2 linked regions of the Danio rerio genome follow. The protein of the gene in region 1 purifies or fractionates together with the protein of each later gene. This does not show direct contact. Links are inferred from orthologs where the notes say so. Each region holds a gene or a part of one and is shown on either strand. Other genes may lie near its edges.

The links.
Region 2: the proteins of slain2 (region 1) and tacc3 purify together in Homo sapiens (co-immunoprecipitation; 3 studies listed by BioGRID and IntAct, counting the BioPlex papers as one, with this or other methods). This does not show direct contact. The link is inferred for Danio rerio from reciprocal best matches to the Homo sapiens genes SLAIN2 and TACC3.

Annotation. Positions count from the first base shown.
Region 1 is NC_133195.1:26,070,565-26,077,065, forward strand, and holds the start of slain2 (SLAIN motif-containing protein 2), read right to left. Parts: upstream 4,012-6,501; 5' UTR 3,809-4,011; coding exon 3,348-3,808; intron 1-3,347.
Region 2 is NC_133188.1:39,350,357-39,356,860, forward strand, and holds the start of tacc3 (transforming acidic coiled-coil-containing protein 3), read right to left. Parts: upstream 3,813-6,504; 5' UTR 3,696-3,812; intron 3,084-3,695; exon of another isoform or gene 2,966-3,083; intron 2,506-2,965; 5' UTR 2,505-2,505; coding exon 2,340-2,504; intron 1,962-2,339; coding exon 1,834-1,961; intron 1,265-1,833; coding exon 1-1,264. Other genes in the region: mfsd2aa (sodium-dependent lysophosphatidylcholine symporter 1-A), read left to right, coding at 4,198-4,257, 5,550-5,633. UniProt on the Homo sapiens protein: Plays a role in the microtubule-dependent coupling of the nucleus and the centrosome. Involved in the processes that regulate centrosome-mediated interkinetic nuclear migration (INM) of neural progenitors.

The sequences.
Region 1 (6,501 bases):
AAAGTGATATAATCAAAATATAGTGGTAATGAATTTGTTGTAGCTATACTTTGATTTTATTTCAAAAAAAAAAAAAAAAAAAAAAAAAAAATATATATATATATATATATATATATATATATATATATATATATATATAAGAAGTTCATAAGAACAAATCTGAGATCATAAGTATTTTTTTAAGAGTTAGATTTAAAGAATTGCATTTAGCTGCACTGTTTTCGTAGTCCTTCCTCATGTCAATTCTGCAAATGTATTTAATTCTTTTGCAATATTAGATGGAAAGATTAGAAAAAGATTTAAGAATCTCTCATTTGCCATAGTCTCTCTTTAACATTTTTGTAGAAACTATATTTGGATAAAATTAAAAGCAAATACAGTTAAAGTTATTACAATGTACATTTAGTACTGTTACTTTTTCAGTATAGATAACAATTTGATTAATCCTTTGTAAAAAACTAACAGATAAAGACTATTGAATAACAGTGTAAGAATATTGCGTAGGTTGGAGTCAAATTTTAACACTACTCATCCTGCAGCACATCCTCTAATCAATGACAGATTTAATGCTGTTTGTCAAATAAACTGACATAAACCATTTTGATCAGTCAGAAAGGAGTAAGGAGGAATGGCACACAACCAAGTGGAGTATTTAGCAGGATTGATGCTGGTGAAAGAATCTGGCAGTCAGAATTGAGTGCATTTCTCCTGAGATAAACTTTTAGTATATGTGCTATGCAATGCTCACATCATCCTAACAGAGCAGATCTGACTTTGAGAACTGTGCACATACTCCTGCTCTTTTATTGATTCAACAATTACAAATTCATTATCTTCTTATCTGGTCAAGAGATTTGCTAACAGCGTGACTTGGAAATCATTAGTGACCCTAAACACCTTTAAATCTACAATACAACAAGCAAAGAAAAGATAATCTCATCCTTTATTTGCCGTGACTAAAAAGATTAAATCAATGCTGTATCCTCTTTGCTGTAATCAAGCTGTTTGACAAGTACATTTCTGTTTTACCAACTCTTGGTAGTGATCAAGTGTTAGCTCTGTTAGATCACTGATCTGTTGGACTCCAGCTGTTGCAGGGATTTCCCAGCATTTTGCTGCCACTGCAAGATATACAACTAAACCGGATCAAGTGTCCGGATTACAGCATTCTGAGTCTGTGAAAACTGACCTAAACCACAGAAAATCTCAGACACAGATTATAGCCAACACAAACAATGGATTACACTGATATATCAATCCACAAAAGATCAAAAAATGATAAAAGGCAGCTGTCTACGGGGACTGCAGGAGCCAAAGAGGATATATATATATATATATATATATATATATATATATATATATATATATATATATATATATATATATATATATATATATATATATATATATATATATATATTAAATAAAGAGAAATACATATTCTCAAAAGTTAGGAGTCAGGATTGATTGAAAAATAATAATTGATTGACTGCCAAGTAATTTTCCATATCAGCACATTATAATGTTTTTTTTTGACAGATAATGAGACACTTAAGACTAGAGTCAATCCTGCTGAATAAGCTGTCATAACTAGATGAAATAGAAGTAAATAAAGATTTACAACAGTCTGCATTGATTTTATCTAGTTGGTATTTTAAATGGGACACAACACTTTGGCTGCACATGAGTCAAATCGCAAGTTATTTCATTTAATATTATTTTTATATTTTAAATAATTAGCTTATGCTGACAAATAAGTAAAAGTTGGTTTGAAAAGTTTAAAGTCTTAAAAATGAATCCTCTTATGAATTATGCCTGAAAAACTTTATATTTGAGCTCACAAATTAGAACTGAAGCACATCGATGGGTGACACCATTTATTTTGCCACACTCATTTACTTATAATTATTTAGTTCATTTTTATTCATTCCAGTATTATAACAGAATTTGGACTTTAAACAGAGATCCATCTGCAGTTTAAATATTTTATTCTTCTACTTTTACTTGTTTTGTTAGAACTAGCAGACATACCTGTGGACAGCTGTTTCACACTGTTTGTTCAGTGCATCTTTGCTTGAGCACTGTATGCATACATTTACATTAGTAGCGCTAATTATCAATTGCATGACCTGCATGTAGATTGAGGAAAAAAGTTTTTCCGATTTGTTTTTTTTTTTAATGTAAATCTTTGTAATTATTTCTCAAAAAATCGTTTTGTTGACAAATTTTCCTTCAGTATAATTTATTGGTTTTTTTTTTTGCTAAAACTGTGGTCGTTAGGGATTTATATTATGCATAAAAAGTCTAAGAGTACTTTAAGAGGTAATGAAAAACAAAGACAAAAAATAAAAATAAACCAATTATATTTATACCAGTTGTTTCTGATGGTAGACTGAGGTCTTTTTGCATTAAATAGTCAGTCTGTGCAAAAAGTACATTATTGACAATATTATTATTTAATCCACAGCCTCTGCAAACAGTTCACCAAGTGGGCTTCTTCACATGCAATCTCACAAAGGGAACATCATTTGAGGTTAATAATATTGTAAATAATGTTCAGTTTCTTTCACAGACTGATCATTTCGCTTTATGACTTTAGGAGACAAGGAGTATTCATTTAATCTTGCCTTTATACATTTTTTTGTACTCTATATCCTAGAAAATAAGATTTTATGATTTAAATGACTTCTTTAATGTCCTACTGAAGAAAAACAAGTCATCTACATCTCAGTTTGTAATTTTGTGTGAATTATCCCATTAAATGAGCCATAAACAGTGTTGATCAAGCGGAAAGCTATGTACATCTTTTATGTACAATCATAGTCTGCTCCAGCATATCCGAGGCTTGAGCAGAAAGTAAATCTAGATGCAAATGCATCATGTGTGTGTGTGTGATTGTAATGACATCATTGAAGCATGACACCATGGCTGTCATTAGGAAGATGTACGAAGCACATCTTGCTTCTAAAATAACCTGAAGGACATATAAAAAAGAACAACACGTCAGAAGCAACTGCAAGAAAGGCCGTGGTACGAGCTGAATACATGCAGTCAGCAAACTGTTGCTCCCAAATGCTCAGACACCAGGCACTAATCATCAGATGACAGTCGTACTGCAGTGAATGCACTGAATAAAGCAACCCCAGCCCTTAGTCAGAGACAGGAGAGCAACAATGTATCAAGCGCATTCCACCAAACACGCGTCATTCTCTGTGTCGTCTGCACGCACACAACACACACACGCAGCTGCGCGCACCTGTCAAACACATGAACAGTGTGTGCGCGTGTCTGGGAGAGGTGATTTTCCTGTGATCGGGGTTAACACCTTGCACTGACAGTTTACTCACCAGCTGTCCTCCTCTTCGTACAGGCAATCCATGTCCTCCAAATCGAGGACCTCCACCTCGTCCAGCACTGAAGTTTCTCCGTCCTCGATATAATCCAGGGAATCGTTGTAATAAGACGCGAAACTCGTGTTCGAGGTGGTAAATGAACCGCTGTCACTATCATAATCTCCGTAATTGCTGCCGTGATATGATCGTCTGGGGCTCAGCCTGGAGTTCTTCAAAGCCTCATCGAAACCCCTCGATCCGCCGAACCCCACCCCTGTGAACCCGGCGAGTGCCGCTGCCGCTCCCGGGGAGTCAAACCCGGCGCTCACCGGTCTGGTGTTCCCGCCAGGGGAGGAAGAGGACAGTAAACTGGATCTGCTCCGGAGCTGCTCGTTCTGCTGCTCGAGTTTCTTTACTAAGTCTTGGAGCTTCCGCACCTCCAAGTCCGCGTTTATGTTTGAGTTGATATCCTCCATGGCAAAAGCAAAGGTCTGTCCGCGCGCGGGTTGTGTCCGTTAGGTTTGATCAACTACCGCCAAAGTCAGTAAGTTCGCGAGCCTCTGTCGCAGGGCCGTTAAGTGAAGCACTGTCAACGCCGCGGCTCGAAAGTAACTAATCGTATCGTCGTCATCTTCTCGTCGCACTCGTACACACGGTAAGCTCCGGCGCCATCTTTACTGTCCGCCAGTCGCTAACTGGGAAATCTTTGAGAAGCTAGAAGTGAAACGTCATCACGTGTCTCAGCGGGGACGAGCACGTTTTGGGAGCGACCCTTCCCTGAAGCAGGCACGCGCATTTTACCTCTGACACACACTCGAGCTGTTTTTCACTGTGTTGGAGAGTTTTTGCGGGATTTCCTACTTCTGTATGGTTGTTAATCATAACAAAAAGGTCTAAAATAATTTAATTTAGACATCTTTTTTCAGGTCACATGGGCGACGCAGTGGTGCAGTAGGTAGTGCTGTCGCCTCACAGCAAGAAGGTCGCTGGTTCGTACCGTGTTGGCGTTTCTGTGTGGAGTTTGCGTGTTCCCCTTGCGTTCGCGTGGGGTCCCCCCGGGTGCTCTGGTTTCCCCCGCAGTCCAATTCACAGTGAATTGTGTTAGGCTAAATTGTCCGTAGTGTATGAGTGTGTATGAACGAGTGTGTTGATGTTTCCAAGGGGGTTGCGGCTGGAAGGGCATCAAAAATGTAAAATCAAAAGGGCGTAAAATGTGCTGGATAAATTGGTGGTTCATTCCACTGTGGCGACCCCGGATTAATAAAGGGACTAAGCCGACAAGAAAACGAATGAATGAATGTTCAGGTCACCCTCTGGTTAAGTTGATCTGTCCTAAACTCATAGCTATGTCCGCATGGCAGTCAAAACAATCTGAATCAATGTCAAATATGCCTAGACTCATTGCACTATATTAAACGTTGTTTTGGTTTAATTTGGCTTTTAGAATTTGCAACTTTATGGTACTAAATAAAACTGTATTAAACTATGATGATCATACGTTGACCGTGTTTGACTATACCTGAAAATTAAATGTCACTTTCCAAACGGTCATACATCTTGAATATAAAAGTGAAAGTAAAAAAAAAACTTACTCAGTTTGTTAATGTTATTAAAAATGTGCAAAATAAATTCTGAAATATTTTTCCAAAAGTTTTTTACAAACAATTTGAGCTTTCACTATTGATTCTACAAGACATTTCCTATTTGTTTCCAATGTTGTCATTTTAACCACAATTAACATGCGACTATTATTTTCAAGATCATGTGACCTTTTTAATCCTGCCCATTTTATTTAAAATTTTTATTTTTGCATGTTCACATGGGAAGTACCAAACCCTTTACCATGTGTTTTCTTTCAGATTAGAATAAAAACAAACATTTTTTCCATAAAAAATGACCAAACAGCACCATAGTTAAAACATTCCTTGTTCAATTCATCTAGCTGAGCTAACAAACCACTCAAATAATAATTTTTATTTTAATAACAATCAGCACCATTTCCATATTTCTTCACAGCTCTTCAATAAAACACAACATGACTGACACCAACTAGAGCATTTCAGGATTAATAATATTCTATAGTGGCAACTCTGCATTAGAATCTTAAAATAATTGATCAGTCCTACTCAATCCTTCAAGTTCATGTTTGAAATGAAGTTCAGAAAGACTTGAGATGTTTATATTATACTAGAGCAAAGACTTTCAACCTTTGCTAGCCACCAAAATAGACGTCCACTTAACCTAGAAATTCTCAATAAACTGTAATATTAAAACTGAGAAGATTACAGCAATTCCATCTATTCTTACCGCTGGATTAATTTAGTTATTTTGAAGTAGTCTTCATGAAAGATCCACAGAATAACCCATGAACAGAGCTGATCAGTAACAAGGTGAAGCACATCATTACAAAAGCAAAAATTTAAAGTGCACATATTTAAGCGCTTTTTCAAGATTTAAGATGCGTCTTTTGTGTCTCCAGAATGTGTTTGTAAAGTTTTAGCTCAAAAACCCATCAGATTATTTATTAGACTTCTGAGAATATTTAAATTTTCTGCTCTGAACACTATGTAGCTGTTTTTGTGTCCTGTGGCTTTAATGCTAGTTCTCTCCACCCACCGTTTCCACATGCCTGTCAGTGTTCCTCAATCTCCGCCATGGCTGCGTCAGATAAACAGCACAGTGACAGACATGAAGGAAGCAGATCTCATGTAACGTTTGTGAGAAATACTACAGTAAGAACTTTCCCAATGATTATTTGATGTATTTGTTTTGGAGTTTATTCAAGCTTTCCTGCAATGATGAGTCACGCACAATGATGTTACAAAGTTTACGCACATTCACACAAGCACACACAAAGTGTGTAACTTTGCACTGTTTTTGCACAGCAAATTTGACAGGATACACGTTAATATCCACTACTGTGGATATCCGTTATGTCAATGTACAAAATAAACCTGATTTAACGTCCACAAACCGGGATGGAAGCGTCGTCTTTTATAATTGTATTGTCATTGTCGTCTTTTATAATTGTATTGCCATAAAGATGGTAAAATCGCTGTAATTCACGACAAACATGCACTGTTTTAAAAACATTTTAAACTTGCAAACCTCATTCTTAACCTCTTTTGATGATTGATGATCACAGAGCGCTGAACAGATCTTGCTGAAC
Region 2 (6,504 bases), on another chromosome or scaffold:
AGGAAGTGTCTCAAGTTGCTTAACAGGAGATTGTGCTTTCTTCAAAACTGGACTGGTCTGGACCCCACGTGGTGGTGAGTTTCCCATCATAGCCTTTGTGCCAAAGGGGTTAAAGTTTGGGTTATCAAATTGTTCAAAATCAAAAGTGTAAGAACCTTTAGCAGAAGGAATATCCACAGGTTGGGTCTCCTCTGGGCTTGTAGGAGACATCTGCTTGGGTTCTGCATCTTTTTTCTCTGTGACTGGTGCATCTGTTTTTTTGGGCACAGGTTTTGCACCAACAGGTCTTTTGACCCCAAGGCGTTTTGGAGGAGGTTTGCGTTTAACTTCAGCTCCATCATCAAAATTAAACTCTAATAGCATCTGGCTCTCCTTTGGGGCAGTTGTAGATGAGGAACTCTCTGTGGCAGTGGAGTTCTCCTGAGGTGTTATGGATGGATCGGAGGATGTTGGGATATCTGTCTGGACTGATAGCTCTTGTTCAGGTTCGTGGCTTAGCAGGGGTGGGTCAAAAACTGTTGATGTTTTGGTTGGAGGAGAGTTGGGGATCTTTGACCCACCAGTTTGGAATGGGTTGAGCATTTCAAGGTTGTCAAAATCCAACTTGTAAGATCCTGCAGAAGGTAGTGGCAAGTCCTGTGCCTCGGGTTGACCCTCAAAAACAGGAATCTGCTGTGGCTCTGCCACTGGGTCAGTGATCTCAGTCTCCTCTGTTTCATTGGTGCTGTTTTCAATATTCTCAGTCTTGAGGATGACTGTGCCCTCTGCTGAAGAGAGGTTGGCCGAGCATTCTGCAAGGGAATTCTCCACTGATGGCACAAATGGGAGAGTCTCATCAAGTGCACTTTCAGTCACCTCTGGAACTTCAGCCTGAGGTGCAAGAACAGGGGCTACGTTGCCCTCTGTCGATGAGATGTTGGCAGAGCATTCTGCAAGGGAATTCTCCACTGATGGGACAGCTTCTTCAAATGCACTGTCAGTCACTTCTGCCTCTGTCTCTACCTCTACCTGGGGTGCAGAAACAGGGGCTATGGTTGTGTTAGACTCTACAAGCTCTGATGTTGCCGCCTCCGTAAAAGCAGAAGATTTAGGTGGGGAATTCGCCATTTTATTGGAGCCCTGGAAAGGGTTGATGGCATCAATATTGTCAAGATCAAAGGAATAGGCCCCTCTGCTCTGAACAGGCATGTCATCATCAGGTAAAGCAACACTGTTACATTCTATGTCAATTGGTGTGGTGTGAGTGTTATTCATCAATGAACTCCTGAAAAACACAAAAGGAGGTTTTACACGTTAGCATATTTGTCCATTAAAAACAGGTTAAGAGGCTTACATAAAAATATTTTAAAAATTAATCTTTAACCTAGTTTTCTTATGAATACCTTGTACTATTAGAGTGGTACATTAAAGTTGACAAAATATTGTTTTAGCACTGAAATATTGTTTTGCAATGTGGGCATCAACAATAGTCAAGAAGAAAAAGTAATGTCAAATAGGAATCCTATTTGAGCATGCACCACAGGTCAAACATGATATGTGGATTCAATTATAAAGTTGAATCATTATATTGTGAAAGATTTGAAAGAAATATGTCCTTTCACCGTGAATACATCCCAAGCAAGTTTACAGCTTTCAGACAAAATTTTTGAAAACCCATGTTAATATTATTTGGAAACAGGATCATTATGTTTTACCCATCATTTTACACCAGAAGTCTCTGGGTCTGTTCGAAGAAGTGCCTTTGGTGGAAATTAATATAAATAAAAGGTACACCAAATACACAAATGGTCATCAACAGTCCTGAACAATTGGAGATGCAGGTAATTTACTCACTGGTCAGAAAGGCCTGTGAGAGTCTCTAGTGCATTTTTGTGATCATCCTGGCTGATCGGCCTACTGGTGCGGCTTGGAGACATGATCTTCTTTGTCACTGGATCTCGCCGTGGGGTTTGAAAACAAACCTATATAAGAGAAATTAAGTAACGTGCAGGTTAGTCTAAGCTGTAGTACAAGGCCAAGAAAGGGTTCAATTATTACATGCAAAATAAAATTTATAATAGTACAAATAAATACTGCATTTGTGAATATTAAAGAATCCAAAATAAAATGTAGCATGGCTTCAACAAAATCGACCTGCCATTCATAAGTGTTTTTGTTTCTTGAAAAGTCACTCAGATGTGCTCATATGACACTAAAGAAAGTGTCTATAGAAAAGGTAAATTTACAGTCAAAGGAACAAGTTACTTTTTAAAATGGAAAACACTTGGTTTATAACCAGTGATTTTATTACACATTATACAGTACAGAAAAAATACTGCATGGAAATTTGTCAAGCCCACCTTTGCTGCTCTAGGAGCAGTCCTGTTAATGTTGTCAGCCTGCGACTGCCGCAAAATCGAGGGTCTGCCAGTCGGCTGATCCAACATGAAAATGTCACAAGCGAATTCAGAATTGCTGTTCATCCGTACAGCTCCCTGATTCTCCTTCAGCGCGTCAGAACTCATACTGTAAAACAGAGACACAGAAAATGACAACATGGGTTTTGGAAAGTCACGCCCAGCAGGCACCATAAACAGCTGCTTTTGCTGATAAGACCCGGAGGCGGGCATCTGACCCAACACCCAGAGACCCTAGTCCTGAGACACTTCAAATCTGTTGCATCTCCTTTCAGACTAACCCACTGTGACTAATAACCCAAACCAGTGACAATTTAGCCTTGTGCTGAGGGAACAAAGTGCTTCTTTTTAGTGAAAAAAAAAAGAAAAGAAAAAAAAAAAAATATATATATATATATATATATATATATATATATATATATATATATATATATATATATATATATATATATATATATATATATCATGATCAAACACTATGCCAATCCCCTGATACTGTGATTTTTTTGTGAGAATAAGTAGGAACAAGGAAGAGATTGACAAACAAAATCAAAAAACAAAATCATTACCACTTCTGGCCTTATCTGTTCTTGCCTGGATTCTGCTCAACTATGTAGGCCTGACAATATGATTGTCAGCTTTGTATTTGACAGGTACTTCTGACAGCTTCTCTCTCCTACAGCTTACCTGGACAGGTGATAAACAGCTCACTATCATAAATCAAATGATCACATTTTAACCTGAACAAAAGTGAGATATCAGATCAATCCCTCACTTCAGTGGAAAAATATAAATAAACCACATAACGTTTAGCACAGCCAGAGAATTGAGTGCAAGACAGAATTTAGCCTAACAGCTCACATACCCACGTGGATGACAAAACAACATTGAATACATGAATGAATAAATAAATATAGAATTTGTTATTTATTTAAAAAAAAGTTTTTAATGCAAATAAATTAACGTTATCTCCAACAGTGCTCAAAATCAATAAGTTACACGTAACGTCATACTTAATGTTAATTCTACATTTTTATGCCCTTTCCATACGAACTTTAGAAATTTAACTATAACAGAAAAAAAATCTCTAACGTTACATAAAGGATAGCTAACAATCACTTATCGCAATCTTAAAATAACAGGATTAAGTTAACGTTACATCAGAATGTTCGACGTTCTGGCAACACTCACGTAGCAAAAAAGTCAAAGCGATTAAGTTACCTTTATGGTTTCATATCGCGCATTAATAACTTACAATCCTATAAACGTGGCTCGGGGGCGGTTTTCTAAAATACGTACCTTATTCAAACTGCTCAAATCTAATAAAAACCGTTTTCTTCGCAGAGACAGTCAGCTCGACACACAGCATAGAGATGTTGTTGTTGCATTTATAACTTTCCCCGTTTGAAACGGTTCAAATTTAAACGGCGCACTCTCAGCCAATTAAATGCAAGAATCAACTCTCGTCAGGCGGGGCGATTATACGAATCGACCAATAGCATCGCACGTCAATCTGCGCTTTTGTACAGGATATACATTTGACAGACATCCAAACCAGCCAATAGGGTAAGCCGTTGACGCAGACGGTTTATGAAGATAAATAACCTCATTTAACCCTTTTACTTGTTGAAAACAAGTGTAGATTTGACAGTGTAAACTACTGCTGTTGTTGTAGCTTAGATATTAGATATAACTGTTTTGTTTTCGTTTACAGTGTTTCGCTGTACTGAAGATGATACTTTAGTTTTGAGTTGTCTTGAAAATGGAAAGTTATCAGGGAAGAGTGATGTTTTGAACCACAATGTACTTTCACTGTATGTTTTCTCCATACAATGAACGTGACGACAAGCTTTGCAACAGGGTATGTATTAAATATGAATTTCGTTTCATATTGCAATAACAGTGCATGTTATGGACATAATTGTCTTTTATAATTTTAGTTTTTGATAATATATTTGCTGTTAATCAACGCATACATTAAATCATTTTGTTGTTGATGCATTTTTTTAAGCTTTAATAATAACTATTTTTTATTATTACCATCAGACATGGCAATACATGCATGTGATATACTTGTCATTTAAATGACAATGTACTTGTTGTTTTGAATTTAAAAAAATGTATTGTAAAGAAATTGTTTGTATAGATTTCAATTACAATGCATATTTATTTCAATATATTTTTGTCATGCAAAAATCACTTCAGCATCATTTACGGACGCAAGTTTTTACAGTTTTATTAGTTTCTAAGCTAATACATACAGAAAATAATAATATTAATATAAAGGTAAAAGATTGCAGAGGCACATGCTTATGCATAATTAGTTTGATCACAAATACTCCATTTTCTTCTACAAAAAGTGATTTTTTTAGAATTAAGTGGTGATTTTAAAAAAGAATCCTCAAAATTTCTTTCACAAGGTAAAAACCATTTACCATGAATTTGGTAAAACGCCTTGAAATATATATGTTTATTGCTGTTTTTGTGCATTATTATGAACATAATTATCTTTTTAAAAAGTATAGTGGGTACAATAACTTTTTTTTATGATTTACCTAGCTTTAATTACCCATTTTTTTAATCATTACCAGCAGTCATGGCAAGCAAAAGCATACATTTGATGTACCTGTCAATTTTGAGAAATTTTTAAATTTAAACGTAAAAAAAACACGTTTAAAAGTTTATAGTGTTTCCATAGATTTCAATTACAATACAAATTTTTCTCAGAATGATTTTTAATCACTTTTGGACTCCAGATTTATACAGATTTGTTCTTATCGATATTAATAAATATAGAAAGTAATAAAATTCATATATAGATAAAATGTTTACAGAGGTTTATACCCAATTTGTTGATTTTTATTCTGAATTTTCCGAATCAAGCAGTGATTTAATTCCCTTCTGTTAAAACCTTTTACTCTAAATATGCCAAAAAAGCATCAAAAATTTTGAACCTATTATCATTCAGTGTTCAGGTTTTTGTGCTAGAAATTTATGCAGAATAATCAATACTAATTATACATGCCTACTTAAATATAGCATTGTAGAAACTTGTAATACAAACTTTATGATTTTTGCAATTCTTAATGTTTTCAGTCAGCTGTGGAAGCATGGCGATAACTATTAATAATTATTTACCCTTTTCACCTGCAGTGTCTTGCCTTTTTTCGCAAGAGGGCAGCATCGGATCACATCCAATGCCTCAATGAGTGCCAGACTGTTATGGGATCATGTATGGTAAGCTTAAACAAAACAATGCGTGCATATATATGCCTTTGCGAATGTTTATGGACTTGTATACATAAAAATATTAGAAATGCATTGCGGTTGTATGTTCATTTAGTATGCCAAAAACATTTATAAAAGAATCAAAGACTAAACCAAAAAAGCACACTGAAGAATGGGCGGGGCAGGGTAGAGGAGAGGAGAGAGTTACATAACAAAGGCATGTTTGTGCTGAGGTCAGTCAGTGCATTGACTCCCTCTCCCCGCACTACTGACCTGCATTCAGCTTACATCACATACATTAAACACACAGGCTACGGATATCGGCTGTCCTCAGACGAGGTGATTTCATTTATTTTAAGACATAATCTGCATATGCATTTTCTGCATATTGTATTTCAGTCTGAGAATAATCTGAGCACATCTTTTGTAGTGCTTTCACAGTTTAGAATAAAAATGTAATAACAATAATTGTTTATAATTTATTTAATGTATTTGCTCATTCATTTGTTTACAATATTTAAGATCTGATATTTTATAGATGTTATAATGACCTGTTTTCTCATAAATGGTAAAAAAGCAAGTATTTTCTCATTATCTATTTTATTCATTTATTTAAATATTATACAGAACACACTGACCTTTTATGTATTATAAGTATAAATGTATTTATTATAAATTATTATTATCATTATTGGAAAATTCCAGTAAACATATCTATAGTTAAATCTGTGTAAAAAGAAAAATATATTTAGGCCTTCCCCCATATCTCACTTACTTTCATCTAAAAGTAAATGTTTTGAATGCAATATTTATGTTCATGTTGTTTTGTTAGAAATAAATCTGTAGGTTTTATAAATCATCCATGCTCACAATCACAAGA